Macaca mulatta: one gene and its partners. The protein of the gene in region 1 purifies or fractionates together with the protein of each later gene. This does not show direct contact. Links are inferred from orthologs where the notes say so. Each region holds a gene or a part of one and is shown in the gene's direction. Other genes may lie near its edges.

Region 1 (3,500 bases):
CGCTCTTGTTGCCCAGGCTGGAGTGCAATGGTGCAATCTCAACTCACCATAACCTCCACCTCCCAGGTTCAAGCGATTCTCCTGCATTGGCCTCCCAAGTAGCTGGGATTATTACAAGCATGTGCCACCACGCTTGGCTAATTTTGTATTTTTAGTAGAGACGGGGTTTCTCCATGTTGGTTAGGCTGGTCTCCAACTCCCGATCTCAGGTGATCCACCCGCCTCAGCCTCACAAAGTGTTGAGATTACAGGCGTTTAGCCACCACAGGCCGAGCCATGGCAGTGCCATTGCACTCCAGCTTGGGCGACCAAGAGCGAAACTCAGTCTCAAAAAAAAAAAAAGAGAGAGAGATGGAGGTCTCACTGTTTTGCCCAGTGGTCTTGAACTCCTGTCTTTAAGTGATCTTCCTGCCTCGGCCTGCCAAAGTATTAGATTACAGGTGTGAACCACTGCGCCCAGCCTAAATGCAGTTCTTTTTTTTTTTTTTTTTTTGAGACTTGCTGTGTCGCCCAGGCTGGAGTACAATGCTGTGATTTCAGCTCACTGCAACCTCAGCCTCATGGGTTAAAGCGATTCTCCTGCCTCAGCCTCCTGAGTAGCTGGGATTACAGGTGTGCGCCACCACGCCCAGCTAATTTTTTTTGTTTTTGGTAGAGACAGGGTTTTACCATGTTGGTCAGGCTGGTCTTGAACTCCTGACCTCATGATCTGCCTACCTCAGCCTCCCAAAGTGCTGAGATTACAGGCCTGAGCCACCGTGCTTGGCCCCTAAATGCAGTTCTTTACACTCAATACAATACTCATCAGTCTTGTTTCTTTTTTTCTTTCTTTCTTTCTTTCTTTCTTTTTTTTTTTTGAGACAAGGTCTTGGTCTGTCACCCAAGCTGGAGTGCAGTGGCGTGATCTCAGCTCACTACAGCCTCTGCCTCCGGGGTTCAAGCGATTCTCCTGCCTCAGCCTCCTGAGTACCAGGGATTACAGGCGTCTGTCACCACACCCGGCTAGGAGACGGGGTTTCTCCATAGATAGTACATTGCTAAAGTAAAGAGAGTGAGCTTTTTTTTTTTTTTTGGCAGGTGGAGGTCTTGCTGTGTTGCTCAGGCTGGTCATGAAATCCTGGCATCCAGTGATCCTCCTGTCTCAGCCTCCCAAAGTACTGAGATAACAGGCATGAGCCACTGTGCCCAGTCAAAAGTGATTTATTTATTTATTTATTTTTTGGAGATAGAGTCTTACTCTTTTTTTTTTTTTTTTTTTTTTTTTTTTGAGACGGAGTCTCGCTCTGTCGCCCAGGCTGGAGTGCAGTGGTGCGATCTTGGCTCACTGCAAGCTCCGCCTCCCAGGTTTACGCCATTCTCCTGCCTCAGCCTCCCGAGTAGCTGGGACTACAGGCGCCTGCCACCTCACCTGGCTAGTTTTTTGTATTTTTTAGTAGAGACGGGGTTTCACTGTGTTAGCCAGGATGGTCTCGATCTCCTGACCTTGTGATCTGCCCGTCTCAGCCTCCCAAAGTGCTGGGATTACAGGCTTGAGCCACCGCGCCCGGCCGAGTCTTACTCTTGTTGCCCAGGCTGGAGTGCAGTGGCGTGATCTCAGCTCACTGCAACCTCCGCCTCCTTGGTTCAAGCGATTCTCCTGCTTCAGCCTCCCAAGTAGCTAAGATTACAGACGTGTGCCATCACACTGGGCTAATTTTTGTTTTAGTAGAGAGGGGGTTTCACTGATTTGGCCAGGCTGGTCTCAAACTCCTGACCTCTTGATCAGCCTGTCTCAGCCTCTCAAAGTGCTGGGATTACAGGCATGAGCCACTGTGACTGGCTGATTTTTTTTTTTTTTTTTTTTTTTTTTTAGGACTTTGGTCAATATAGATTGGTGGGCAGGGGGTTAGATGGTGCCACAAACATGATAATAGCCCAAGTTTTTTAGATCAGAAATTGGGATATCCACAAACAGAATGTTTTTCTCCTGATTTATGCATGTAGCAAAAGTTTTATGAAGATGTAACATTTATACCAAATTTAGTAATTATGTATATAACAGGCCACATTTAATGAAAGCATAACCAGGATAAAATAATTTCCTTACCCAGCTCTTTTTCTTCTACAGACACAGCAGGATGCCAATGCCTCTTCCCTCTTAGACATCTATAGCTTCTGGCTCAAGTAAGCCTTTCCTGTTCCATTTTGGCTATTTCTCCCCCAAGGTGGGCTGGGCTATGTTTCTTGGTTTGGGAAGATTACAGTCTCCTAGAAATTGGTCTAATCTACCTTAGCAGGTCTGCCAAGGCCCCAGAGCGAAAGTTACAGGCAAATGGACCAGTGGCTAAGAAAGCTAAGAAGAAGGCCTCATCCAGTGACAGTAGTGAGGACAGCAGCGAGGAGGAGGAGGAAGTTCAAGGGCCTCCAGCAAAGAAGGCTGGTAAGGCAAAGTAGCGGGTGGGCTTGGTGGTGCCAGGAAAATAATTTACAGCCTGCTTGTTTCACATGGGTGATTCTTACTGGGACCTGTGTTTTTGTTGAGCTGTACCTGCCAAGCGAGTCGGTCTGCCTCCTGGGAAGGCTACAGCCAAAGCATCAGAGAGCAGCAGCAGCAGTGAAGAGTCCAGTGATGATGAGGAGGAGGAGGACCAAAAGAAACAGCCTGTCCAGGTTTGCAGCTCTGGGAAGAAAAGGGGGTTTAAGGATTGGAAAGGAAGAAACCAAAATCTTGGCCTCTAACTTGTAACCAAGGAGTGATGGCCGGCAATACAATAGGTGATTATGAGGAAGAAAATCTGGGGATTTTCAGAGAGCTGATAAAAATATGAGATCTGGAAGGGATTTGTGAGGTTGAGGTCAGGCTTGGAATCTAGAGGAAATTAAACCCATTCTGCTTGAGGAGTTTGGGTTCTTCTGGGACACTATTCAGGGCTCCAAGAATAAGAGAGTGTGTTTTCTTGGGAGCTTTGGCAGGATATGGCAGGAACAGGGCCAATGTATCAAGTGGCTGAACTTTGTTGTTTCTTAAGAGTTTTTTGCCCTTTCCATATCCTGTCCTTAGCTTTCTCTTGCTCTTACTGCTGCATTAAGCCCCTAAAAATAAAAGGAACATAGGATGCCCTTTGGGTACCTAGAAGCTTTTGTTGATTTCTCTCCTTGTGTCTTTTCTAACAGAAGGGAGTTAAGCCCCAAGCCAAGGCAGCCAAAGCTCCTCCTAAGAAGGCCAAGAGCTCTGATTCTGATTCTGACTCAAGCTCCGAGGATGAGCCACCAAAGAACCAGAAGCCAAAGATAACACCTGTGGCAGCTAAAGCTCAGGCTAAGGCCCCTCCCAAACCAGGTACTGTTTCCGTTCCCAAGAGGCTGGGCTGGGAACCAGATTGCTCTGGGGACTGGTGTTAAAACTGCTGATTTGGCACAGGGGTGAAATGGTACTGGTTGTTGAACTGGAGGTATTGATTACTGGTCTTTTAATTTTAAAGGTTTTACTAATAACAAGATTTCATAGGAGCTAGTAAATA
Region 2 (3,500 bases), on another chromosome or scaffold:
GGCCTTGGTGGCGTGAGCCTGTAATCCCAGCTACTTGGGAGGCTGAGGCAGGAGAATCACTTGAACCCAGCAGGTAGAGGTTGCAGTGAACCGAGATTGTGACATTGCACTCCAGCCTGGGCGACAAGAGCGAAACTCCATCTCAAAAAAAAGGAACTATGTATTTATTACACTTTTTAAACTATGTCTAGTGCTTAAATTCATAGCATTAATATTGAGTCTGTTTTCTGACAATAAATATTCTATTCAGCATATCCAACTAAGCAGCATGTTGATAACAATAGTCCCCAGCTATTTATGGGGATATATTCTAAGCTCTCCCAAGGATGTTTGAAACAGAGGATAGTACTGAACCCTATACTGTATATACTGTTTTTTCCTAAACATACATATCTACAATAAAGCTTAATTTATAAATTAGGTACAGTGGGATATGAACAACAGTAATAATAGAACAGTTATAACAATATTCCAGCAGCCAGGGGCAGTGGGTCACACCTGTAATCCCAGCACTCTGGAAGGCCGAGTAGGGTGGCTCACAAGGTCAGGAGTTCAAGATCAGCCTGGCCAAGATGGTGAAACCCTGTCTCTACTAAAAATACGAAAAAAATTAGCTGGGCGTGGTGGTGGGCGCCTGTAATCCCAGCTACTCAGGAGGGCGAGGCAGATAATTGCTTAAACCTGAGAGGCAGAGGATACAGTGAACCAGGGTCGTGCCACTGCACTCCAGCCTGTGCGACAGCAAAACTCCATCTCAAAAAAAAAAAATATGCCAGCATAACTATTTTTGTGCATTGTTTACTTGAATATAAGCACTGCAGTACTACTGCACCACGGAGAGGGCTACAAAAGTGACTAATGGGTAGATAGGGATGGCGGGGGAGCTGAGTGGGGTGGCAAGAGACTTAAAACCTAGTGTTCCTGTGTGTGACATTTATGTCACTCCTGTAGTACACTAATGAAATATAGAATGGTACTACCATCTCTCAGGTGAATAGAGACATTGGACTTAATAAGCTTAACCTTCAGTTTGTCCTAGGCATTCATTGCAAACCTGCTTGTGCTAATGAAGGAATTACAAATGAAACATCAAGGTTTTTAGGGAATTCTGGATTATAGAATTCTATATTATATGTGATTTTTATTTATTGTGGTGGCTATAATATTGTATAGGTCTTTTGTTTTAGTACATGGAACATTCATATATTTGAAGGTGCATTCTTGGTAACTTTTTTCTTTTATAGGTTCTCTTTTGAATTTGGCCAAGCATGCAGCTTCTACCGTTCAGATTCTTGGAGCAGAAAAGGCACTCTTCAGAGCCCTCAAATCTAGACGGGATACCCCTAAGTACGGTCTCATTTATCATGCTTCACTCGTAGGCCAGACAAGTCCCAAACACAAAGGAAAGGTGTGTTACAGGGTTTTGTTTTGTTTTTGAGGTTGGACTTCTTCATTTTTTACAACCCTTTTTTCTTCTGTAGTACACATTAAATCTTTCTATTGTCTCTTTCTCGTTAGAGAATGGTGAGTTATTTAAATAAAAAGCACTTTGTGTACACTGAAGGATAAAGTTAGAAGAAATTGTTATCTGTTGATTTAAAGCCAGTTTCTTCATTGTGTTAGTATTTTTTTTTCCCCTAGGATCTCCCTGTGGTTGGCACACTGAAAATATTATCTCTGGCAGGAAAAAAAAATCTAACATTTATGAATCATAAACAATAGTATATGCATTATGCTAAAACACTTTGACAGAATTCACTAAACCTTTTTTTTTTTTTTTTTTTGAGACGGCGTCCTGCTCTGTTGCCAGGCTGGAGTGCAAGTGGCTTGATCTCGGCTCACTACAACCTCCACCTCCTGGGTTCAAGCAATTCTCCTGTCTCACCCTCCTGAGTAGCTGGGACTATAGGCATGTGCACACCTGGCTAATTTTTGTATTTTTAGTGGAGACGGGTTTCACCATGTTGGCCAGGCTGGTCTCGAATTCCTGACCTCGTGATCCACCCACTTTGGCTTCCCAGAGTGCTGAGATTACAGGTGTGAGCACCCGTGCCCATCCTAAATCTTTAGTAGCCTTATGAGATGTAGGTATCTGTTTTACAGATGATGAAACTGAGGCTTAGACAAGTTAAGTACTTCCAATGTTTTTGAAAGATGTGTTGTTTAACAGAACTAAACTGAAATTTGATAAAATTTAGAGCAGAGTGGTGGAGGGAAATAAAGGGTGCAATAAAATAAAATGTTAATTAGGTTGAAAAAGAACCCACACTTTTTATTATTTATTTATTTATTTATTTTTTGAGACGGAGTCTCTTTCTGTCGCCCAGGCTGGAGTGCAGTAGTGCGATCTCGGCTCACTGCAACCTCCACCTCCTGAGTTCACACCATTTTCCTGCCTCAGCCTCCCGAGTAGCTGGGACTACAGGTGCCCGCCACCACTTCCAGCCAATTTTTTGTGTTTTTAGTAGAGACGGGTTTTCACCATGTTGGCCAGGATGGTCTCGATCTCCTGACCTCGTGATCCACCCGCCTCGGCCTCCCAAAGTGCTGGGGTTACAGGCTGAGCCACTGTGCCCAGTCAGAACCCACACATATTTAAGTTATGGGGAAAAAGATGCACTTGTTGTGAATGACCTCAAGGCACAGAACTAATGTCAGTGGGTAGAAAGTAAAGTAATTTTACAAAATCCAGTTTGAGCTAATTTTTGACAGGAACTGCTATAAAATCTTTTCAGCCACAGAATTGGTGGTAATGTATGGCCATTAGATTGTGGCAAAGATTGAAATACGATGGATGATTTGAATTGTATGATTCATAATAGTTTCATAACATCCTGGAATAAATGTGATAATTTGCTGGAACTGTCTCATGAGCCAGTTATTGAGGATTTTACATCTGAACATGGAATATAGTTCTTCATGTTTTTCTATTAGATTTCTCGAATGCTGGCAGCGAAAACTGTTTTGGCTATCCGTTATGATGCTTTTGGTGAGGATTCAAGTTCTGCAATGGGAGTTGAGAACAGAGCCAAATTAGAGGCCAGGTTGAGAACTTTGGAAGATAGAGGGGTAAGAATACCACATCATGCTTATTCCAGAAGTATTAAACTGTCAAAAGTTAATAAATTGAGTAAATTTATGAAGTTACTTTATCTGCTAAACAGTTTTATGATCCTTGTTAGTATGTCTAAAGTATTCTTTTTGTGCCTACTATTAACAATTGCTATTATTTACCAATAATTGATGTATACAATAGCATTTGCCATTAGGATATGCTATTCAAAATAACAAAAAATAGCAGAAATTGTTTGCTGGCCCACTGATTCACTAGACTGTTTAGTGTATTATAAAGTGACTTAGAATTGTATTTGTAATTTTTCCTTTTCGTCTTAGATAAGAAAAATAAGTGGAACAGGAAAGGCATTAGCAAAAACAGAAAAATATGAACACAAAAGGTGAGTACATTTAAGTGACAATGGGGTGAATAGTTTTTTTAAATG
Region 3 (3,500 bases), on another chromosome or scaffold:
CAGAGCAGGAAGGAGGAAGAGTGAGGGTCACCCACCCAGCCCCAGGCCTAGGGAAGGACAAGGTGGAGGCATGCAGTAGGTAAGCAGATCCCCTGTGTTAGCTGCTGGTAAATGGTAAAGGGGAAAGTTGGGTGGGGGATGTAGGAATGGCAACTTGAAACGGAGTGATCTGGGCTGGCCTTGGGAGAAGGCGTCTCAGCAAAGACCAGAAGGAGGAAGCACTCTTAGGAAGGTCATTCCAGGCAGGGGCTCAGCAACTGTCAAGGCCTTGAGGTGGAAGTAGGACTCCCTCCTGATCTTGCCCATTGTGTCTCCCAGGTGAAGCCCTTGGGGGAAAACCCCCAGGTGAAACCTGCCTCCACCATGGGCACGGGGCCCTTGGGGAAAGGCGCTGGCCCAGTGCTACCTGGGAAGGGAAGCAGAGGGGGTCTTAGGAGCCTCATTAAGGCCTCTGGACTTTATCTTAAAGGCATCATCAGAGAGTTCTCACAAGCAGGAGAGCAAACTGCCCTTTCTTTTTTACTAGGTAAAGACCTCTGAAAAAATCCTCCAGGTCAGAGCTGCCTCGACCGCTGCCAAGGGGACCCCTGGGAAAGGGGCTACCCCAGCACACCCTGGGAAGGCAGGGGCTGTAGCCTTCCAGACCAAGGCAGGGAAGCCAGAGGAGGACTCGGAGAGCAGCAGCGAGGAATCGTCTGACAGTGAGGAAGAGACGCCAGCTGCCAAGGCCCTGCTTCAGGTGAAGCCTGAGGAGGGAGACCCCATGCAGTCAGGCCCTCCCCAGAAGGCTTCTCAGGACTTGTTCTCCCACTCTGTGTCAGAGCCCGGGGCGTGCCTCAGACCCCAGCCCCTTACTCCCCTCTCACTGTGTGGTGTCATTTGCCCTATCTGGTCTTCTTTACCTGGTGTCCTGTGTCTCCTCACACATCCATCCCCTGGGCTGTCTCCCCTTATCTTGTTTCTCCAGGCAAAGGCCTCAGGAAAAACCCCTCAGGTCGGAGCTGCCTCAGCCCCTGCCAAGGAGTCCCCCAGGAAAGGAGCTGCCCCAGCGCCCCCTGGGAAGACAGGGCCTGCAGTTGCCAAGGCCCAGACCGGGAAGCAGGAGGAGGACTCGCAGAGCAGCAGCGAGGAATCGGACAGTGAGGAGGAGGCGCCTGTTCAGGTGAGGCAGAGGGGAGGGGTGGAGAGTAGCCCCATGCCTAAACCCCAGCACCTGCATGGGTATGGCCACCTTTGCCGCCTCCAGCTCCTGTCTCCTCACACCTTCCGGGCTCTCCTCTCTCATCCTGTTTCTCACTCCAGACGAAGCCTTCAGGGAAGACCTCCCAGGTCAGAGCTGCCTCGGCCTCTGCCAAGGAGTCCCCCAGGAAAGGGGCTGCCCCAGCACCTCCTAGGAAAACAGGGCCTGCAGCCACCCAGGCCCAGGCAGGGAAGCAGGAGGAGGACTCGGGGAGCAGCAGTGAGGAGTCAGACAGTGACAGGGAGGCACCGGCAGCCATGAACGCAGCTCAGGTGAGGCTGGAAGCCGCCCTGCATGGCCTGTGCCTTGCCTCAGAAGACCTCCTGTGGGCTTGACTTTTCCTCTCTGAACCTAGAGCCCTGTGCGGCTGGCTTCGTTTGCTCTCCTCCCCACCTATGTCTTCACTCATATTCTCCTTCTGGACTCCCTGATCTTGTCCATTGTGTCTCCCAGGTGAAGCCCTTGGGGAAAAACCCCCAGGTGAAACCTGCCTCCACCATGGGCACGGGGCCCTTGGGGAAAGGCCCCGGCCCAGTGCTACCTGGGAAGGCGGGGCCTACAACACCCTCGGCCCAGGTGGGGAAGTGGGAGGACTCAGACAGCAGCAGTGAGGAGTCATCAGACAGCGATGATGGAGAGGTGCCCACAGCTGTGGCCCCGGCTCAGGTGAGGCCCCTTCCTGTAGGCTCTTTTCTTCCCCTCAGAGTGGAGCCACCCATGGCCTCCCACTGGGACTCTGTCTACCGTCTTGGTCTCTTAATGTCTGTACACACCTACTCTGGGCTCCCTCTCCTGATCCTGTGTATCTCACTCCAGGAAAAATCCTTGGGGAAAGTCCTCCAGGCCAAACCCGCCTCTGGTCCTGCCAAGGGACCGCCTCAGAAGGCAGGGCCTGTAGCCATCCAGGTCAAGGCTGAAAAGCCCATGGAAGACTCAGAGAGCAGCGAGGAGTCGTCGGACAGTGCGGACAGTGAGGAGACACCAGCAGCCATGACTGCAGCTCAGGTGAGGCCTGGGGAAGGAGGCTGCCACATGGCCTGATCTACCACACCACAGTCAGCCCCCCAGGGAGCTGTGCTTCCCTCAGGCAGATCATGGGTTCTGACTGGTGGGGCAGAACAGTAGTGGGGATCCACCTCAGAACAGATGGGGGACTCCGAGTTCAGGAATCTTCTCCAGCCTTTCTTTGGTGTCCCCTTAGGCAAAACCAGCTCTGAAAATTCCTCAGACCAAGGCCTGCCCAAAGAAAACCAATACTGCATCTGCCAAGGTCACCCCTGTGCGAGTGGGCACCCAAGCCCCCCGGAAAGCAGGAACTGTGACTTCTCCAGTAGGCTCATCCCCAGCTGTGGCTGGGGGCACCCAGAGACCAGCAGAGGATTCTTCAAGCAGTGAGGAATCAGATAGTGAGGAAGAGAAGACAGGTCCTGCAGTAACCATGGGACAGGTGAGGCCTGTGTTTAATGGGGGGACCTCAGGGCCGCCCCTACGTGGTCCTTTGGACTCCTAGAGACACCTCTCTTCCACTTGTCATCCCAGGCAAAGTCTGTGGGGAAAGGCCTCCAGGTGAAAGCGGCCTCAGTGCCTGTCAAGGGATCCTTGGGGCAAGGGACCGCTCCAGTACTTCCTGGGAAGACGGGGCCTACGGTCACCCAGGTGAAAGCTGAGATGCAGGAAGACTCTGAGAGCAGTGAGGAGGAATCAGACAGTGAAGAGGCAGCTGCACCTTCAGCACAGGTGAGGCCTAGAAGGAGCAGGCCCATCCCACCCACAGCTGTTCCTGAGCCAGGGCTGAGGATGGGCTTGATTGGGGGCTAGTCTTGCCTGCAGGTGTGCAGAAGCCTCAGCGGTAGCCTCAACACTACGTCCTTCCCTGTCTTTCACTCCATGTCTCCTCTGCCCATCAGAGCTCCAGGGTCTCTTGTCTTGTTGGCCTTTTGAGCTCCCGCTGATGTATTCCCTGTGGTTTCTACAAGCTCTGGAGTTCCCACCCTGCCAGGTGCTGCCCTTGTCTGGGGCTGCTGAGGCCCTGTTCCTCGGGGAAGTCCTGTCTCTGGAGCATGGATGTGCTCCTCCAGTGTGGAGTGATGGGGTTGAGTTAGAGGGTGTAAGCCTGGGCTGCACAGCATGACAGGTGAGAGTATCTAGGCCTTTTACAGGAGGTGGCGGCATCTGAACCATGGGCTGAAAGAGATGGGCAGGGAGAGTGTTCCAGCAGAGGAAGCAGTCTATGCGAGGCCAGGGAATGGGAGAGTGCCCG
Region 4 (3,500 bases), on another chromosome or scaffold:
GGAATCTAGCCCCCAACACACGCAGGCACCCTGAGAGCTGTTCAGCAGGTGTTCACAGAGCACCCCCTCTGTATCAGGCCCCTTGTGAGCCCTGGGATCCCCGAACACTCTGGGGCACTGTGCGGAGCTGCTCAGGGACTTACTGTGACCCTTCTCCCATAGTGACCCTGCCATTTGGCTTGATCTGATGATACCCTCCCTATGCTTACCGGTTCCCCACCAAACCTGCACACAAGTCCGAGCCCACTGTCCTCACCAACGGGACATTGGTGATCCATCCTGGCCCTCCTCTTCCACTGGCAATGGAATGACAATGGGTTAGAGGGTAGGGGGAGAGAGAGGAAAGAAAGGTTTGGCCAGAGATAGACAGGGGATGTCAGCCAAGGGGGTGACCCTGAACCAGTGTTTCTGGCCTCCTGAGGTGCTGAGTAGAGATGTCCTTTGTGTTCAGCTGGACTCTGCTCCCGAGGGCCAGGGCACTGAGGCACCTTCCACAACCTGCAGAGTGCTCTCGAGTGCTCGGCACTGTCTAAGTGCTGTACGCATGTGCACATTCATGCGTATACCCATTCAGTCCTCACGGGAGACCCATGAGGGAGGCACTGCAGATCACAACCCCTGATTCACATGTGGCAAGCCCAAGAAGCTCTGAAAACCTAGCATTGCTTCCAAGTTTAATGCAGAATTCATTCATTGGCAAACCTGACCCCAACTGATGTGAGGCTATATTTAGCCTCTTGGTGAGAATATTTGTGTTTTCCTACGGAGGTATCAATGGCTTTAGTAATAGGGTGCAGATCTTGCAGAGGTCATTACAGAATATATGGAACGTGTACCATTTTGCCTATTTTATTTTATTTTGAGACAGAGTCTCGCTGTGTTGCCCGGGCTGGAGTGCAGTGGCATGATCTCAGCTCACTGCAGCCTCCGCCTCCCAGGTTCAAGTGATTCTCTTGCTTCAGTCTCCCAAGTAGCTGGGACTACAGGTGTCCACCACCATGCCCGGCTAATTTTTGTATTTATAGTAGAGATGAGGTTTCACCATATTGGCCAGGCTGGTCTTGAACTCTTGGCCTCAAGTGATCCACCCGCCTCAGCCTCCCAAAGTGTTGGGATTATAGGCATAAGCCCCCATGCCCGGCCCATTTTGCCTCTCTATGCTTCACAATTTCTAAATTCCAAAGTATACCTGGTTCTAGGAGTTTTGGACCTGTGTTACTATTCTTACTAACATATGAAGAAACAGAAGTGTTAACTAACCTGCTTAAAGTCACCAGCTGGGTCTGTTAGGCTGGCCTGGGATGAGGGAAAGGTAGAGCATGGTGGAGGTCGGCAGTGCCACCCTCTAGGTGCCGGCCTTTCCATTTTTCTCAGGATGATTTTAGATGGACATATGGTTGAATCTGGGCTTGGGCTGGTGTTTGGGGGCGCAGAGGTTTGGGAGGCCAAGTTGGGAGAGGCTGCTCACTCTCTGTCCTTTCCCCAGATGGTGTGGTCCTGGTGGATCCTGAGTATCTCAAAGAGAGGAGAGGTAGGCTGTGGTCCCCATCCCCAGCCTGTCAAGGGCCTCCTCTTCCCCCTGGACCTCTAGCATAGGATCTCCCTGTCCGTCCCCACTGGTTCCCCTGAAAGCCTCAACAAATACCCCCACAGATGCCCTTGCCTCCTCCAGCCTGGGACGGCCCTGCCCCAAGCCTACTTTGGGAGAAGGTTTCCCTATGCCCTGAGCACTTTCACATCAATATGTCATGACTATGGCAAGGCTGGGGATGCCAGCAGGGCAGGATTAGGGTCTTCTTTAACAGAACAGAACGTTGATACCGGGGCAGTATCAATGTGCACCAATGTGCAGGAAGACAATGTGCACCAATGTGCACCAATGGGCGACTGAGCTGTGACAAGATCCTTGCCTTCCAGATACCACCCAGCACTTGCCCTGCCCCTACAACTCCCTGCTCCTTCCTCAGTCCTCCTACCCCCACCCCAGGCCTGCCAGACTACTCCAGCCCCCGCCAAGCCTGTCAGACCATTTCCATACCCCTCCACACATGCCATGGAGAGAGGTGGGAGGGGGAAGAAGGACAGGGCTTGCTCAGCAGGCAGCCCCCTCCTCCTCCCAGGGGCCAGGCCATGGCATCCTTCCAGGTACTCAATACCAGCCCCTCCTGGTGGAGACAGTACAGCCATCCCCAAAGAGCTTGGGACAGGCCTGGGGCCTCCAGCGGGGCTTGTCCCATGGCTGCTGTTGGCACTCTGGGGGGCTCACCTGCTGCTCTCCCAGGCCCCTCCTCAGTGCTCCTTGCTCCCCACAGTCTATGTGACGCTGACCTGCGCCTTCCGCTATGGCCGGGAGGACCTGGATGTCCTGGGCCTGACCTTTCGCAAGGACTTGTTTGTGGCCAACGTGCAGTCCTTCCCACCAGCCCCCGAGGACAAGAAGCCCCTGACGCGGCTGCAGGAGCGCCTCATCAAGAAGTTGGGCGAGCACGCCTACCCTTTCACCTTTGAGGTCAGGAACTGCCACCCCTGGAGCCCCATTCCAGAAATACCACCTCTAGGAAGCCCTCTGGGGTGGGCATAAGGGGTCGGTGTGGGTCATCTGCTCCCTGCCACCCAGTTTCCCAGTGTATGCTGGGACCTGGGGCACTGACACCTATGTTACCTGGTAAGTGTCTCTTCTCTAGCCCCTGCTGGGGTTTGTCACCTGTACCTTTGGGCCACTCAGACCGAGGCCAGGTCATTGGTGGGAGAAAGGGGGCGCCAAGGGGCTTCAGAGAAAGCAGGAGCCCTTTGTGGCCTGTGAGTCACTGCAAGGTGTCTCCAGCTCAGATCAGCTCCCCACTTGCCTGGTTTAACCCAGCTCGCAAGAGAGGGATGGCAAGTAGGTGATCTGTCTGCTCCACCACCTTTCAAATCAGAGACTAAGATGCTGGATTTCAAAATCTCAAGTTTCTTAGGCTCTCTGATTCTGAGATTCAGTGTGGTCCCTCCCTTTCTGGGAGACTTAGAGAGTGGAGAGGGTTATGGAGTCACCTTTTCCACATAGACATGTTAGCTCCCTATGGCTGCTGAAACAAATTGCCACAAACTTGGCAGCAATTAAAACAACACAGATGTATGAGCCTACAGCTCTGGAGGTCAGAAGTCCCAAAACGGGTCTCACTGTGCCTCAATGGAGGCATGGCAGGGCTGGCTCCTCTGGAGGCCCTCAGGGAGCGTCCACCTTTTCCAGTTTCGCTTTCCTTGGATCCTGGTGCCTTCCTTCATCGTCAAAGCCAGCAGTGGCTGTTGAGTCTTTTGCACATCCCATCACTCTGGCTCGTACATTTCTGCCTCCTGCTTCTACTTCTAAGGACTCTTATAATGATATCAGGCCCACCAAAATCATCCAGGATACTGTCCCCATCTCAAGGCCTTAATTGGATCTGCAAAGTCACTTTTGTCGTTAAGGTCCCAGGTTTGGGGGATCAGGGTGTGGACATCTTTGGGGGACCATTATT
Region 5 (4,280 bases), on another chromosome or scaffold:
CTGCCTCGGCCTCCTGAAGTGCTGGATTATAGCCCACCCAATCCTACTTTTTTAAAATGCTGTCCATTAATGCATTCTGACTTCTTGCTTGAAAGCCCCTGGTTTAGTGAATAAGCACCTGTAATCCCAGGAAAATTCAGGATTAAGGACAGAAATAACGAAGTAAATTGAAGTCTTAGCATTAATATTTTCCATTACATTTTGGAATCGTCTAATTTTATGTATTGATGACGGTAAAAATAATTCAACATGCTAATGTATGGATTAATTTTGCAATTCCATTTTAAAATGTTAAATGGAATAACGATTCAGATTCGTTAAGTCGACATGTGTAACAGAATTCAACCACATCTGTAAACTATATTAAAATTATGTGAGTAAGATTTACCGGCCATATTTTTTAGGTTTGACATATTAGATTTGTGAGTGAACTATGTACTTGGATTTTGTCAAGTAACTCAATCGATTAACAAAATAACAATTAAATGTATAAATGTAGTTTATAGCTATACAGCATTTTTAAAAATCCCCTTCGAATGACTCTTTAAAATATATCAGGGGATATGCTACTTAAGCATAACTAGGTTTTGGATTTATAACGTTAATATTAATTATTAAAGCAAAACTCATTTCTAAATAGTCGCCTGAGAGCCCAAAAGACGCCCTCGAGGACAGGGAAGGAGCTCCGATTCACTTGGCGCTCGCCGGTGCCCAGAATTCAGGGCCGCTCAAGCGGAGGAGCAACACGTGGCCAGCAAAAGAAGCTGGGTCCCGTGCAGCACAGCAACAAGAAACTGGCCTAGGAGGACGTTGGAGCGTCTTTCTTTCGCACGTCACTGCCTGACACCGTCATTTTAAAAAATAATAAATAAAATTAGTAGTACGAAGAAAGCTGCGCAAGCCACGTTCCCAGCAGGGTCTGCGCCAAAGCGCGCAAGGAAACGCTCCCGTTCCGGGTGGGAGGAAAGGATGCACGGCCCACCCAGCGCTGGGGAGGCTCGTCCCCGAGTAGGGGACGGGAACGGATGGGTCCCGGGGACTTGGGGCGCAGGGTCTGGGGCCCGAGGCCACGGGCGCAGCGGGCAGCCGGCTAGGCAGCGGTCTCTGGGATGGACGCCGTGCCCTACGCGGAGCCTCCCACCCCGACTTCACCCATCTCTGCTGCCCGCAACTTATATGACAAGAACATCTGGAACTGGACTATTATACCGAAAGGGCCTACCCATGTCTTTTCGCTGCCAGCAAGGCCCGACTCCGGGCCGCGCGTCCCCGGCAACCGCGCCCGCCCACGCAGCTGCAGAGGCCAGAGAAGGCCTGCTCGCCCGCGCTCGGCGCCACCCAGCCCGCGCTCCGGGCGATACCACCCCGGGCGGCCCCTCTAAAGGCCGGGAGATGGTGTCGTCCCCGGCCTCCGATTGGTCTGCGGGGCGGGGGCGGGGCCTCTGGAGCCTGGTTCCGCGCGCCGGAGCGCGCTAGCCGCATTGCGAGCCGAACCCGGGAGCAGGCGCCATGGTGAGGAGTGGTTGTGGGGCGCGGGCGACGCGAAGGTGGGGGCTTCGGTCTGGGTTCGCGCTTCAGACAGAGCCTGGGCCTGGGCCTGGGCCTGGGCCTGGGCCTGCGCCTGCTCTCGGAGCGGGTTCCGGCAGACGCGGAGGTTGAGCTGACGCTAGCGCCCCGGCTCCCGTTCCAGGTGCTGTTGCACGTGCTATTTGAGCATGCGGTCGGCTACGCGCTGCTGGCACTGAAGGAAGTGGAGGAGATCAGTCTGCTGCAGCCGCAGGTGGGTGAGATCCATGGGCTCCTCAGGCGGCCTCGCAGACCCTCACCGCGCAGGTCCCAGCATGCAGCGCGCGCTCCCACGTGGCCGGCCGAGAGGTTCGGGGCGGGGGGCGGGCCTGGAAAGCTCTAGATCCGGGGGTCTTTACCTTGACTCATGGGAAGAATCGCTCTAGCAGTTAGAAATAAGCCTCCCGGACCCCGCGCCGGAACGATTAAAGCAGAAGCTGGGTTGTGGGGTCCCGCTGTCAGCATATTTTAAGAGCTTCCAAGGCTGAGAACCGCTGCTTTACTGCGCCGCAGAGGCAGGAGGGAGGGAAGGAAACCACTCAGCCTCTTTCTCCCCCGCTAGGTGGAGGAGTCCGTGCTCAACTTGGGCAAATTCCACAACATCGTTCGTCTGGTGGCCTTTTGTCCCTTTGCCTCGTCCCAGGTTGCCTTGGAAAATGCGAACGCCGTGTCTGAAGGTGAGTCGGCCACCACCAAGTATCACAGGGAGATGTGGTTCCTTCTGGTATCCTCTCGGGCAGCTTGTGATAGTATTTGCCGTCCTTGGCCGGCTGTGAGTCTGATAGGTGTGAGGCAGTATTTGAGACATAACTGTGTAATTTGAAATAATTGTCTTCACAGAGCTCAAGATCTGGGAACTGTGATGGACCAAACTGTTGAAAGCAGATGATGTGGGATGTGTGTTACGTTTCCTTGTGGGCACTGTAGTGACAGATTATTTATTTTTTGAGACAGAGTCTCTGCCCTCCAGGCTGGAGTGCAGTGGCACGATCTGGGCTGACTGCAACCTCCGCCTCCCTGGTTCACGCGATTCTTCTGCCTCAACCTCCCGAGTAACGGGGATTACAGGCGTGTGCCAGCCACCACACCCGGCTAATTTTGTGTTTTTAATAGAGACGGGGTTTCACCATGTTGGCCAGGATGGTCTCGATCTCCTGATCTCGTGATCCCCCGCCTCGGCCTCCCAAAGTGCTGAGATTACAGGCGCGAGCCACCGTGCCCGGCTTGACAAAGGGGGTTTCTTAAAGGGGGTTGGCTTAACACCTACCTGTGCCTGAGTTTTTTGCCTAAACACAATCAGGTGTCTAGTTTTCTGCTATTTGCTTGGAAAGGGCGGTTGGATAAACACAGGCTAAGAAAAAAAGGTTAATTCTACTAAAGGCAAATTCTACTAAATACTCAAGGGTGTGTTACAAGCTATTATTTATTGCACGATTGTGCTATCAGACCTGAGTGCAGTTGTTCCCATGGCTGGGCCAGGCTTTGCAGTGATGACTTGCGAATCAAATCTGTCAATCCCCTGAGTGCAGTCACTGATGTCTCCATGTCTCTGAGCAATGCCTGATGGGGAGGGGTCTAGGTATGCCATCCCAGCATGCTCCGTGGAAGCAGGGTAATCAGCTGAGGAGATGTTAGAATTGATCATCCTTCAGCCTGTGAGTGGGAACTGTGTTCTTTCCTCTGAGGGGTTGTTCATGAGGACCTCCGCCTGCTCTTGGAGACCCACCTGCCATCCAAAAAGAAGAAAGTACTCTTGGGAGTTGGGGATCCCAAGATTGGTGCTGCAATACAGGAGGAGTTAGGGTACAACTGCCAGACTGGAGGCGTCATAGCTGAGATCCTGCGAGGTGAGACCATCATCTGTTATATTCATGTTATCCTTGACATTTTCGGGGAGGAGGTTCTGGAAACGTGGGTGCTTGTTATGACTTCTGGGAAGGCCTTGGACTTGGCTGGTGCCCATGGGTGCGGGAGCTAGCTCAGAGCCCCTTGTTGCTCACCGTCCTGCCCTCTTCTTAGGAGTTCGTCTGCACTTCCACAATCTGGTGAAGGGTCTGACTGATCTGTCAGCTTGTAAAGCACAGCTGGGGCTGGGACACAGCTATTCCCGTGCCAAAGTTAAGTTTAATGTGAACCGAGTGGACAATATGATCATCCAGTCCATTAGCCTCCTGGACCAGCTGGATAAGGACATCAATACCTTCTCTATGCGTGTCAGGTAAAGTGCAGGGGCCACCCATAATACTGGAGCCTTTGGTCTGTAGTTTAGCTAATTTTGAGTCTTGATGAGGACTGACCATCCTGTGGGTAGAACTATGTGGACTGGGGCTGGGTCTAGGCCTCCTGGTGCTTACCACAGGCTGTGTTCTTACACTGACTGTATAGAAAGAGGAGGTAGAGTAAACCTACCCTATATACACCTCAGCTCAGGCCCTGTGCCTGGTCTGTATTGTGAATGGGGGAACATAGAATGAAGATTTGTAGCTCTATGGTTTTTGATGAAGCAGCTGGGCCAGGGAGTGACTGTGGCTCTTTGCAGGGAGTGGTATGGGTATCACTTTCCGGAGCTGGTGAAGATCATCAACGACAATGCCACATACTGCCGTCTTGCCCAGTTTATTGGAAACCGAAGGGAACTGAATGAGGAAAAGCTGGAGAAGCTGGAGGAGCTGACAATGGATGGGGCCAAGGCTAAGGCTATTCTGGATGCCTCA
Region 6 (3,500 bases), on another chromosome or scaffold:
GCGTGACCCTGCCTTCTGCTCTCTGGACCTGCATGGATCTGGGGATGGGGGCTCCCCTTGCCCCTTGCACTACCATGACCAAGCCTCTGCCAGGTTCGGGGCTTTGGAGAGGAAGACTTGGTCGCCAGGGTCGTGAGACCACAATGGGGCAAGCATCCCTGCCCAAGAGGAGGGAAGGGGGAGGAAGGAAGGGGAGTGATGGTGGCGGGAGCCTTGGGTAAGATGTGGCCTTTTCTCCCCCTCCTGAGGCCTGCGGCGTAGACTTTGAGATTCGAGCCTTCTGTGCTAAATCACTAGAGGAGAAAAGCCACAAAAGGTGAGGGACGCGACCTCCTCTATGATGTAAGAGGAGGCTTTCCAGGAGCCCAGGCCCCGTGCGGGGGAGGAGTAGGGGTCTAGGTGTCTGAGGATTGACCCCCTTCTGCCCCCACCCCCATCCCAGGAACTCTGTGCGACTGGTGATCCGAAAGGTGCAGTTTGCCCCAGAGAAACCCGGCCCCCAGCCTTCAGCAGAAACCACACGCCACTTCCTCATGTCTGACCGGTCCCTGCACCTCGAGGCTTCCCTGGACAAGGAGGTGGGGTGTGAGAGGGTGACGCGGATGCCACGGTGCAGTTTAGACCCAGGGGAGGGGGGGCGAAGCCACACGTCAAGATGACATTTGTAAAGGAGGTTGCCTTGGCTGGATGTGGAGAGTTGCCGTATGCTTGGGTTTGATGGGAGGGGGCCAGAACAATGTGTTGTGTTTGGGGACACACTGATGATGGGACCAGTAAAAACCAGATCCAATTCATATGACCCCCTCCCCCCAAAAGCTGTACTACCATGGGGAGCCCCTCAATGTAAATGTCCACGTCACCAACAACTCCACCAAGACCGTCAAGAAGATCAAAGTCTCTGGTAGGAGGTGGGGTTTGGAAGGGGGTCTTTGGGGAGGGTGTTACTGCACAGGTGGCTCCTGGTGTGATCTCAGCCCAGGCCATTTCCCAGGGCGGGAGACCCACCAGGGCTCAAAGAATTTAGGTTGTTCCAGAATGATACAGGGAGCCTCGGTGTTTACTGCTTCCAGGGGGGAGCATGGAGGGGCCACGCCACGGGGTCTGGAGTTGTGTTGTGGGGGTGGCTTGTGCTCCATCCAGAGCTGCCTGACCCTGTCCCCCCCCACAGTGAGACAGTACGCCGACATCTGCCTCTTCAGCACCGCCCAGTACAAGTGTCCCGTGGCTCAACTCGAACAAGAGTGAGTATCGGGAGAGACCCAGTTCCCAGTCTGGGGGAGAAGAGCAGGATCGGGAGAGTGTGAGGTGGGGGAAGAATTCTTCCTAAGCCATCGCCACTATTTTTTTTTTTTTTTTTTTTTTTTTGAGATGGAATTATTGCTCTTGTTGCCCAGCCTGAAGTGTGATGGGGCAACCTCTGCTCACTGCAACCTCCACCTCCCAGGTTCAGGCGATTATCCTGCCTCAGCCTCCCAAGTAGCTGGGACTACAGGCATGCAACACCATACCTGGCTTATTTTTATTTATTTATTTATTTATTTTTGAGACGGAGTCTCGCTCTGTCGCCCAGGCTGGAGTGCAGTGGTGTGATCTCAGCTCACTGCAAGCTCCGCCTCCCGGGTTCAAGCCATTCTCCTGCCTCAGCCTCCCGAGTAGCTGGGACTATAGGCGCCCGCCACTGCGCCAGGCTAATTTTTTTGTATTTTTAGTAGAGACGGGTTTCACTGTGTTAGCCAGGCTAGTCTTGAACCCCTGACCTCAAGTGACCCACCCGCCATGGCCTCTCAAAGTGCTGGGATTACAGGCGTGAGCCACTGTGACCAACCACCATCTTCACTTAAAAGGGTATTCCCTCTACAACCAGGCACCTCTGGGTTGCTAATTTTCTTGAGCACGTTGAGCCACAACCTACTCCCTTGTGACCTGTGCCCAAAGAGAGAAGGGACTGGTGAAGGGGAGATGCTGCTTGGGGGTGATAGGCCGCCCCTCGCCCAGTCCAGCCCCTTGAAGCGTCTTGTTCTCTTGTTCCCACCCCCAGTGACCAGGTATCTCCCAGCTCCACGTTCTGTAAGGTGTACACCATCACCCCGCTGCTCAGTGACAACCGGGAGAAGCGGGGTCTCGCCCTGGATGGGAAACTCAAACACGAGGACACCAACCTGGCTTCCAGCACCATGTGAGGGTGGGGCTGGGGCGGGTCCCCCACAGGCCAGGGGCCAGACGTCAGTTGAGTGCTAACTATGTGCCAGGCCCTATCCTAGGTGCCAGGGAGGTACAGTGAACAGAAGAGACAAAAAGAACTCTTACATTCTAGGAGAGGGAGGCTAGACAAATCCGATCAGTGGTCACTGTACGGCAGGTTTAGTGACAAGTATGAAGGAGAAAAAGCCAGGCAGAGAAGGGAGGGATGGGGCGCAGTGAGATGCAAAGGTGAATTGGGAGTAAGGACCCAGCGGAAGTAAGCAACATGGGTGAGCAGGAAAGGACAGTTCTGGGCAGAGAAAAAACAAAGACTCAGAGGTGGGGCAGCCTGGAGTGTTGGAGGAATGGGGAGGTGCCATCGTGCCCTCGGGCAGGAGCAGCCCTGGAGGTCCTCAGCTTCACAAAGGGCTGGATTTCACCTTCCCCGGTGCCTTTGTTCAGGGTTCTCACTGCACAGCCACATACAACAGGCCCGGAAGGCAACTTATCAAGAACTAAGTAGCAGGAGAGGAGGAGGAGGTGAGGTCAGGGGCTAATGGAGAGCCAGACGGTGCAGTGCTGTTAGCGGAGAAGGACAGCTTTTACGGGAGAGAAACCACAGGAGGCTCTGCACGGGGAGTGCAGCGCGCACTGTACCGTAACCGCACGCCCGGGCTGCTGGGGCCCCGCGGGCCTGTGCGAGTTTGTGGTCCTGCCCAGAGGCCCCATGGGAACCCCACGGTGGGCCAGGTGACAGGGGGATGGGCCCTGGTCTGACTCCACCACCGCAATTGCAGCGTGAAGGAGGGTGCCAACAAGGAGGTGCTGGGAATCCTGGTGTCCTACAGGGTCAAGGTGAAGCTGGTGGTGTCTCGAGGCGGGTGAGTGTCATGGGGGGTCCTGGGTGGGGGTCACACTGGCTCTCGATGGTCCTGTGTTGTCATCCTCTTCACGATCCCTCTCCCCTTCCCCAGGGATGTGTCTGTGGAGCTGCCTTTTGTTCTTATGCACCCCAAGCCCCGCGACCACACCCCCCTCCCCAGACCCCAGTCAGGTGAGCACACCGCCCACCCCAAGCCCTCAGAGGGAGGGCCTGAAGCAGGGCCAGTGGAGGAAAACTGGCCCTTCCAGCACCCACCCCCACACCCCCTCTTCCCATCCCCCCAGCCGCTCCGGAGACAGACGTCCCCGTGGACACCAACCTCATTGAATTTGATACCAAGTAAGAAACTCATTCCCCTACGTCACCCTCTTGGGACAAAGATTCCTGCCACATTCAAATCTGCCCTCATACCTCTTCCTCGCTTTCTGGGGGGAGA
Region 7 (4,018 bases), on another chromosome or scaffold:
TTGTTTAATTCTCCTTGCAGCCCTGTGAAGTGAGTGCTATTACTGGTTTTGTGCTGTAGAATCTGTGACACAGAGAGGTTGAGTAATTGTCCTAAGGTCACACAGCTTCTAAGTAGCAGTGCTGGATAGATCTGACTCTACAGTCTGTGCTCTTAGCTGTGTCAAGGAGGAAGGCCCAGGATTTCATCTAGAAAACAGACTGTGAAAAGGGATTGGAATGAGAGCAACCTGCACTGGGTGCAGAGGTCCTGTCGATAAAGGATGCAGGATGGGAAAGGAAGACAAAGGAAGGGCCTAGAAGGTCCAAGGAGAAGGGTGTTCAGGGCTGCAAGCAACACTGGAAGCCAGGCCAGTTCAGTTGACCACCTACCCTGGTGCATCCCCAATCCCTGCTGTCCCTTCAGGTCGGATTTGCAATTCTGCTCTCCCTCCTCCTAAACACAAACAGGAGATTTACACACTCAAAGTCTCTCCCCACAAATAACTAACTAATCACAAAGGGAAAAATTGTAACTTTGCAGTGGCACAACCTGGCCGACGCCAGCTTAACCAAGTGACCAAAGTGGATATTCAGGGAAGGCTCTGGAAGGGCATTTGGGGGAAGCGTGGAAAGGTTTTGTGAGGACTCTGAATGACGGGGGTGGGAAGCTTTGGGGACTGAGGAGTCTACCCTAACAGGGCAGGGTCCAGAGGGGGAAGGAGGGGTATGTCTCCGGGAAAAGGAGAAGTATTGAGGTGGGAGAGGTTCTGAGGTTTGAGCGAGGCCCTGGGGAGGGACTTGACAGTTTGGGTGACAGGAGGGTCAGAATAGGGTCAGTATGGGAGGTGTCGGGTGGGTAAAAGCTGGGTGAGTGCAGGGCTAGGGGTAGGGTCTCCAAGGACAGTGAAAGGGTCGGGACTCGCGGGCGAGGGCTCTAGGGCAACGGCCAGTGGAAGGGGGGCTCCTGTGGCGTGAAGTCAGGCCAGCCCGAGGGTGAGGCGATTTGGACCGTCCGACCTGGGGCGACGGGAGGGCGAGGGTGCGGGACGGTGCGGGAGGGCGCGAGGTAGGCGGCGGGGCGTGCCGGGGCGGGGCCGGGGCGGGGCCGGCACCGCCCGGCGGGTCCCCCCGCGCTCCAGGGGGCGCTGTGAGCCTGGGCGGTCCCAGGCCGGGCGGCGGCCGCTCCCAGCGAGCGCGGCCCCTTTTCCGGGTTTCCTCCGCCTCCTCCTTCTCTCCTCCTTCTTCTCCGCTGCCGCGGCCGCTGCCCCTTTCCCGGCCGGTGGCTGCCACTGCCGGTGCCGCCGCCGCCACTGCCGCCGCCTCCTGGGGGCCGCGAGCCGAGCGGAGACCGCCGCGGATCGCGAGCGCCGCCCGCCCCGCCGCCCCGCCGGCCGCTCCAGGGCCGGGCCGGCTCGGCCGGCGCCCCCCGCGCCCCCAGCCCGCCCGCCCCCGCGGGCCCGGCCTGGCGCGGCCGCCCGCCGCCGCGTTCCTCCTCCTCCTCCTCCAGCGCCCGGCGGCCCGCTGCCCCCTCCGCCCGCCGCCCCGCGCCCTCCGCCGCGTCGCCGCCGCCACCCTCTGCGCCCCGCGCCGCCCCCCGGTCCCGCCCGCCATGCCCGGCCCGGCCGCGGGCAGCAGGGCCCGGGTCTACGCCGAGGTGAACAGCCTGAGGAGCCGCGAGTACTGGGACTACGAGGCTCACGTCCCGAGCTGGGGGTAAAGCCGCCGCCGCCCCCCGCCGGGCCCGCTGACCCCTGCCCCCGCCCGGCCACCCCCTGCGAACCGCACTCGGGCCCGGTGGTGTCTCCCGCCGACCCCTCCGCGGGCCCGCAGGGAGGCAGAGGTCCAGCTCTCGCACATGTCCTCGTCTTCCTCTTCCCTCCCCTTGTCCCTTTCTCCCCGCTTTGCGCACCTCTTTCCCCCAAGGAATGCTTTTTTACTCGGGGAGAAGTGTGGGGTCCAGGGATCGACGCCCGGTAAAAGTGAGGGAGTAGCCCTTCCTCACGCTTCTGGGTTTCCACTGGGGTGGGAAGTCAACAGCTGTCCTTTGGAGCTATTAAAATTCCCTGCCTTTTCGGTTTTCTGAGATGAGGTGGTGGGAGGAAATTTCTTAAAGACGTCCAGTTTTTTAAAACAGGCACTGTCTACCCTCAGGGTGTGAAACGGGAAGCAGGTGCTGGGGAGCCGCGGGGCACAGGGGGCACCCTCTAGGCCTTCAGGACGGGTGCTTTGCTCAGCCCTCTGGATTGGCTCAGAGCGTTGCCTTCCTGCCCCATCTTTCCAAGTTAGGAGAGACCAATTAGGTTAGGAGCTCTGCAGAGTGAAGGGAGCCAAGATTACGTCGTGGCTTTCATTTAGGGAATGAGTTGTGACGTGATGTATAGACACTTCCAAGTGTTTGCCTGTTGGAAGCGGCTGAATGACGTATACAGTGAGCATAGGCTTGCTTAGATTAACCCCCAGTCCTGGCATTTATGTGTGTGTCTTCCTTTTACAGTAATCAAGATGATTACCAACTGGTTCGAAAACTTGGTCGGGGAAAATATAGTGAAGTATTTGAGGCCATTAACATCACCAACAATGAGAGAGTGGTTGTAAAAATCCTCAAGGTGAGTGTCCTATGAGTGGTATGTAACATTTTTCCCCCCACAGGGCAGAAGGTTGTAAGCTACCCCAGTCACGTTCTAGAATGGGCAATGCAAGCTTGAATTTAATTTAATTTATTTATTTAGAGTCAGAGTCTCACTCTGTCACCCAGGCTGTAGTGCAGATCATAGTTCACTGCAGCCTTCAACTCCTGAGCTCAAATGATCCTCCCATCTCACCCAAGTAGCTGAGACTACAGGTGCATGCCACCACGCCCAGTTATTTTTAAAATTTTTTTGTAGAGTCAGGGTCTGGTCAAGTTGCCCAGGCTGGTCTTAAACTCCTGAGCTCAAGCAGTCCTCCAAAAGGACTCCTTGCAGGCCTCCTAAAATTGCTGGGTTTACAGGCATAAGCCGCTGTGCCCAGCCCACGCTCAGATTTTATTTATCTGATGTCCCTTCATTACTTCTTTTTCCACCCCATTTTGCTGTGAACTTTCAAGAAAATGTGCAGACTGGTCACAGATCTTAGTTCAAATCTAAGTTCAGGAAGGTGTTTGTTCTAAAAAGTAAATTGCCTAAAGCAAAAATTCCTAAAGGGCTCCATTTGTTAGAAAATAAATAGGTATTCAAAAGACAGGAAAGCCATTCTCAATTTAAGGGCTCCCTGAGCACTGTGTTTGTTAGTCTTGGTGCATGCTCTCCGTTGTTCCAGAAAGAAAGTTGGAAAAAATTGGAGCGACTTCAGAAATGTATGTCAAACCCAAGTGGAAGGAAATTCCTTAGCAGATAATCACTTGCTTTTTTTTTTCCTTTGGCAGTAAAGTTTCAGGTGGGATGGATATAGTGCGCCAGTAGTGCTGAGAAGCCTTGTTGGGAAGCCAGAGAGCCATTGTTGCTTATCAGCTAGTAAAAATGTAGAAGAATTCACGTATTATTACTAAAGCAATAATTGGAACAAAACGATTTTAATATATGGTTTAGCAATCAGTTTGATAATGATATGTCTTTTGTTATCTCTTCCATGAAGATGATTTTAATGAGCATGAAGGGTCGGCTAAATTTTCCTTCTGGTAACAGATTAATTGTATAGCTTTAATAATGTTTTATAGGCTATAGTAAAAAGTAGTTCTTAGAATCTGTGATGGGTCTTCGTTATTGCCAGATCATTTCATGTGGTTACATGTCATTTAGTGAGAGATTGAGAAGACGGAAGAGTGACGTAAGCACTTTGCATACATGTGATTTCCAGTGTGGCCCTTTTGCAGAGGTTCTGTGGACTAAGAATGTGGAATTGAAAAGCTGTTTCTGTGTGTTAGAGCAGCTGTGTAGGTAATCACTGTTTAATGTGAGGGGTCAGGCTTATGCTTCCTGGTAATCTTTCAGAAAAAATGATTAACTCCATCACTCAAAACATCCTAGCCTAGTGATGAAGAAGCAGAATTGCAGTAAAGAG

What was found.
Region 2: the proteins of NOLC1 (region 1) and NOP58 fractionate together in Homo sapiens (co-fractionation; 3 studies listed by BioGRID, with this or other methods). This does not show direct contact. The link is inferred for Macaca mulatta from reciprocal best matches to the Homo sapiens genes NOLC1 and NOP58.
Region 3: the proteins of NOLC1 (region 1) and TCOF1 purify together in Homo sapiens (affinity purification with western blotting; 4 studies listed by BioGRID and IntAct, with this or other methods). This does not show direct contact. The link is inferred for Macaca mulatta from reciprocal best matches to the Homo sapiens genes NOLC1 and TCOF1.
Region 4: the proteins of NOLC1 (region 1) and ARRB1 purify together in Homo sapiens (affinity purification with mass spectrometry; 4 studies listed by BioGRID and IntAct, counting the BioPlex papers as one, with this or other methods). This does not show direct contact. The link is inferred for Macaca mulatta from reciprocal best matches to the Homo sapiens genes NOLC1 and ARRB1.
Region 5: the proteins of NOLC1 (region 1) and NOP56 purify together in Homo sapiens (affinity purification with mass spectrometry; 6 studies listed by BioGRID and IntAct, with this or other methods). This does not show direct contact. The link is inferred for Macaca mulatta from reciprocal best matches to the Homo sapiens genes NOLC1 and NOP56.
Region 6: the proteins of NOLC1 (region 1) and ARRB2 purify together in Homo sapiens (affinity purification with mass spectrometry; 5 studies listed by BioGRID and IntAct, counting the BioPlex papers as one, with this or other methods). This does not show direct contact. The link is inferred for Macaca mulatta from reciprocal best matches to the Homo sapiens genes NOLC1 and ARRB2.
Region 7: the proteins of NOLC1 (region 1) and CSNK2A2 purify together in Homo sapiens (affinity purification with mass spectrometry; 5 studies listed by BioGRID and IntAct, with this or other methods). This does not show direct contact. The link is inferred for Macaca mulatta from reciprocal best matches to the Homo sapiens genes NOLC1 and CSNK2A2.

What each region holds. Positions count from the first base shown.
Region 1 is NC_133414.1:114,264,066-114,267,565, forward strand, and holds part of NOLC1 (nucleolar and coiled-body phosphoprotein 1), read left to right. Parts: intron 1-2,107; coding exon 2,108-2,163; intron 2,164-2,273; coding exon 2,274-2,419; intron 2,420-2,521; coding exon 2,522-2,649; intron 2,650-3,153; coding exon 3,154-3,319; intron 3,320-3,500. UniProt on the Homo sapiens protein: Nucleolar protein that acts as a regulator of RNA polymerase I by connecting RNA polymerase I with enzymes responsible for ribosomal processing and modification.
Region 2 is NC_133417.1:107,476,375-107,479,874, forward strand, and holds part of NOP58 (nucleolar protein 58), read left to right. Parts: intron 1-1,244; coding exon 1,245-1,408; intron 1,409-2,934; coding exon 2,935-3,069; intron 3,070-3,393; coding exon 3,394-3,455; intron 3,456-3,500. UniProt on the Homo sapiens protein: Required for the biogenesis of box C/D snoRNAs such as U3, U8 and U14 snoRNAs. Part of the small subunit (SSU) processome, first precursor of the small eukaryotic ribosomal subunit.
Region 3 is NC_133411.1:159,339,633-159,343,132, forward strand, and holds part of TCOF1 (treacle protein), read left to right. Parts: intron 1-526; coding exon 527-739; intron 740-967; coding exon 968-1,162; intron 1,163-1,302; coding exon 1,303-1,512; intron 1,513-1,693; coding exon 1,694-1,906; intron 1,907-2,056; coding exon 2,057-2,245; intron 2,246-2,441; coding exon 2,442-2,687; intron 2,688-2,779; coding exon 2,780-2,977; intron 2,978-3,500.
Region 4 is NC_133419.1:75,673,523-75,677,022, reverse strand, and holds part of ARRB1 (beta-arrestin-1), read left to right. Parts: intron 1-1,486; coding exon 1,487-1,558; exon of another isoform or gene 1,559-1,653; coding exon of another isoform or gene 1,654-1,671; intron 1,672-2,281; coding exon 2,282-2,509; intron 2,510-3,500. UniProt on the Homo sapiens protein: Functions in regulating agonist-mediated G-protein coupled receptor (GPCR) signaling by mediating both receptor desensitization and resensitization processes.
Region 5 is NC_133415.1:81,429,492-81,433,771, reverse strand, and holds the start of NOP56 (nucleolar protein 56), read left to right. Parts: upstream 1-1,480; 5' UTR 1,481-1,509; coding exon 1,510-1,512; intron 1,513-1,690; coding exon 1,691-1,780; intron 1,781-2,128; coding exon 2,129-2,243; intron 2,244-3,048; exon of another isoform or gene 3,049-3,123; intron 3,124-3,251; coding exon 3,252-3,413; intron 3,414-3,585; coding exon 3,586-3,784; intron 3,785-3,903; exon of another isoform or gene 3,904-4,035; intron 4,036-4,105; coding exon 4,106-4,280. UniProt on the Homo sapiens protein: Involved in the early to middle stages of 60S ribosomal subunit biogenesis. Required for the biogenesis of box C/D snoRNAs such U3, U8 and U14 snoRNAs. Part of the small subunit (SSU) processome, first precursor of the small eukaryotic ribosomal subunit.
Region 6 is NC_133421.1:6,246,856-6,250,355, forward strand, and holds part of ARRB2 (beta-arrestin-2), read left to right. Parts: intron 1-248; coding exon 249-316; intron 317-442; coding exon 443-578; intron 579-816; coding exon 817-901; intron 902-1,168; coding exon 1,169-1,241; intron 1,242-2,038; coding exon 2,039-2,176; intron 2,177-2,978; coding exon 2,979-3,062; intron 3,063-3,155; coding exon 3,156-3,235; intron 3,236-3,312; coding exon of another isoform or gene 3,313-3,348; coding exon 3,349-3,403; intron 3,404-3,500. UniProt on the Homo sapiens protein: Functions in regulating agonist-mediated G-protein coupled receptor (GPCR) signaling by mediating both receptor desensitization and resensitization processes.
Region 7 is NC_133425.1:53,802,437-53,806,454, reverse strand, and holds the start of CSNK2A2 (casein kinase II subunit alpha'), read left to right. Parts: upstream 1-1,218; 5' UTR 1,219-1,589; coding exon 1,590-1,693; intron 1,694-2,474; coding exon 2,475-2,586; intron 2,587-4,018.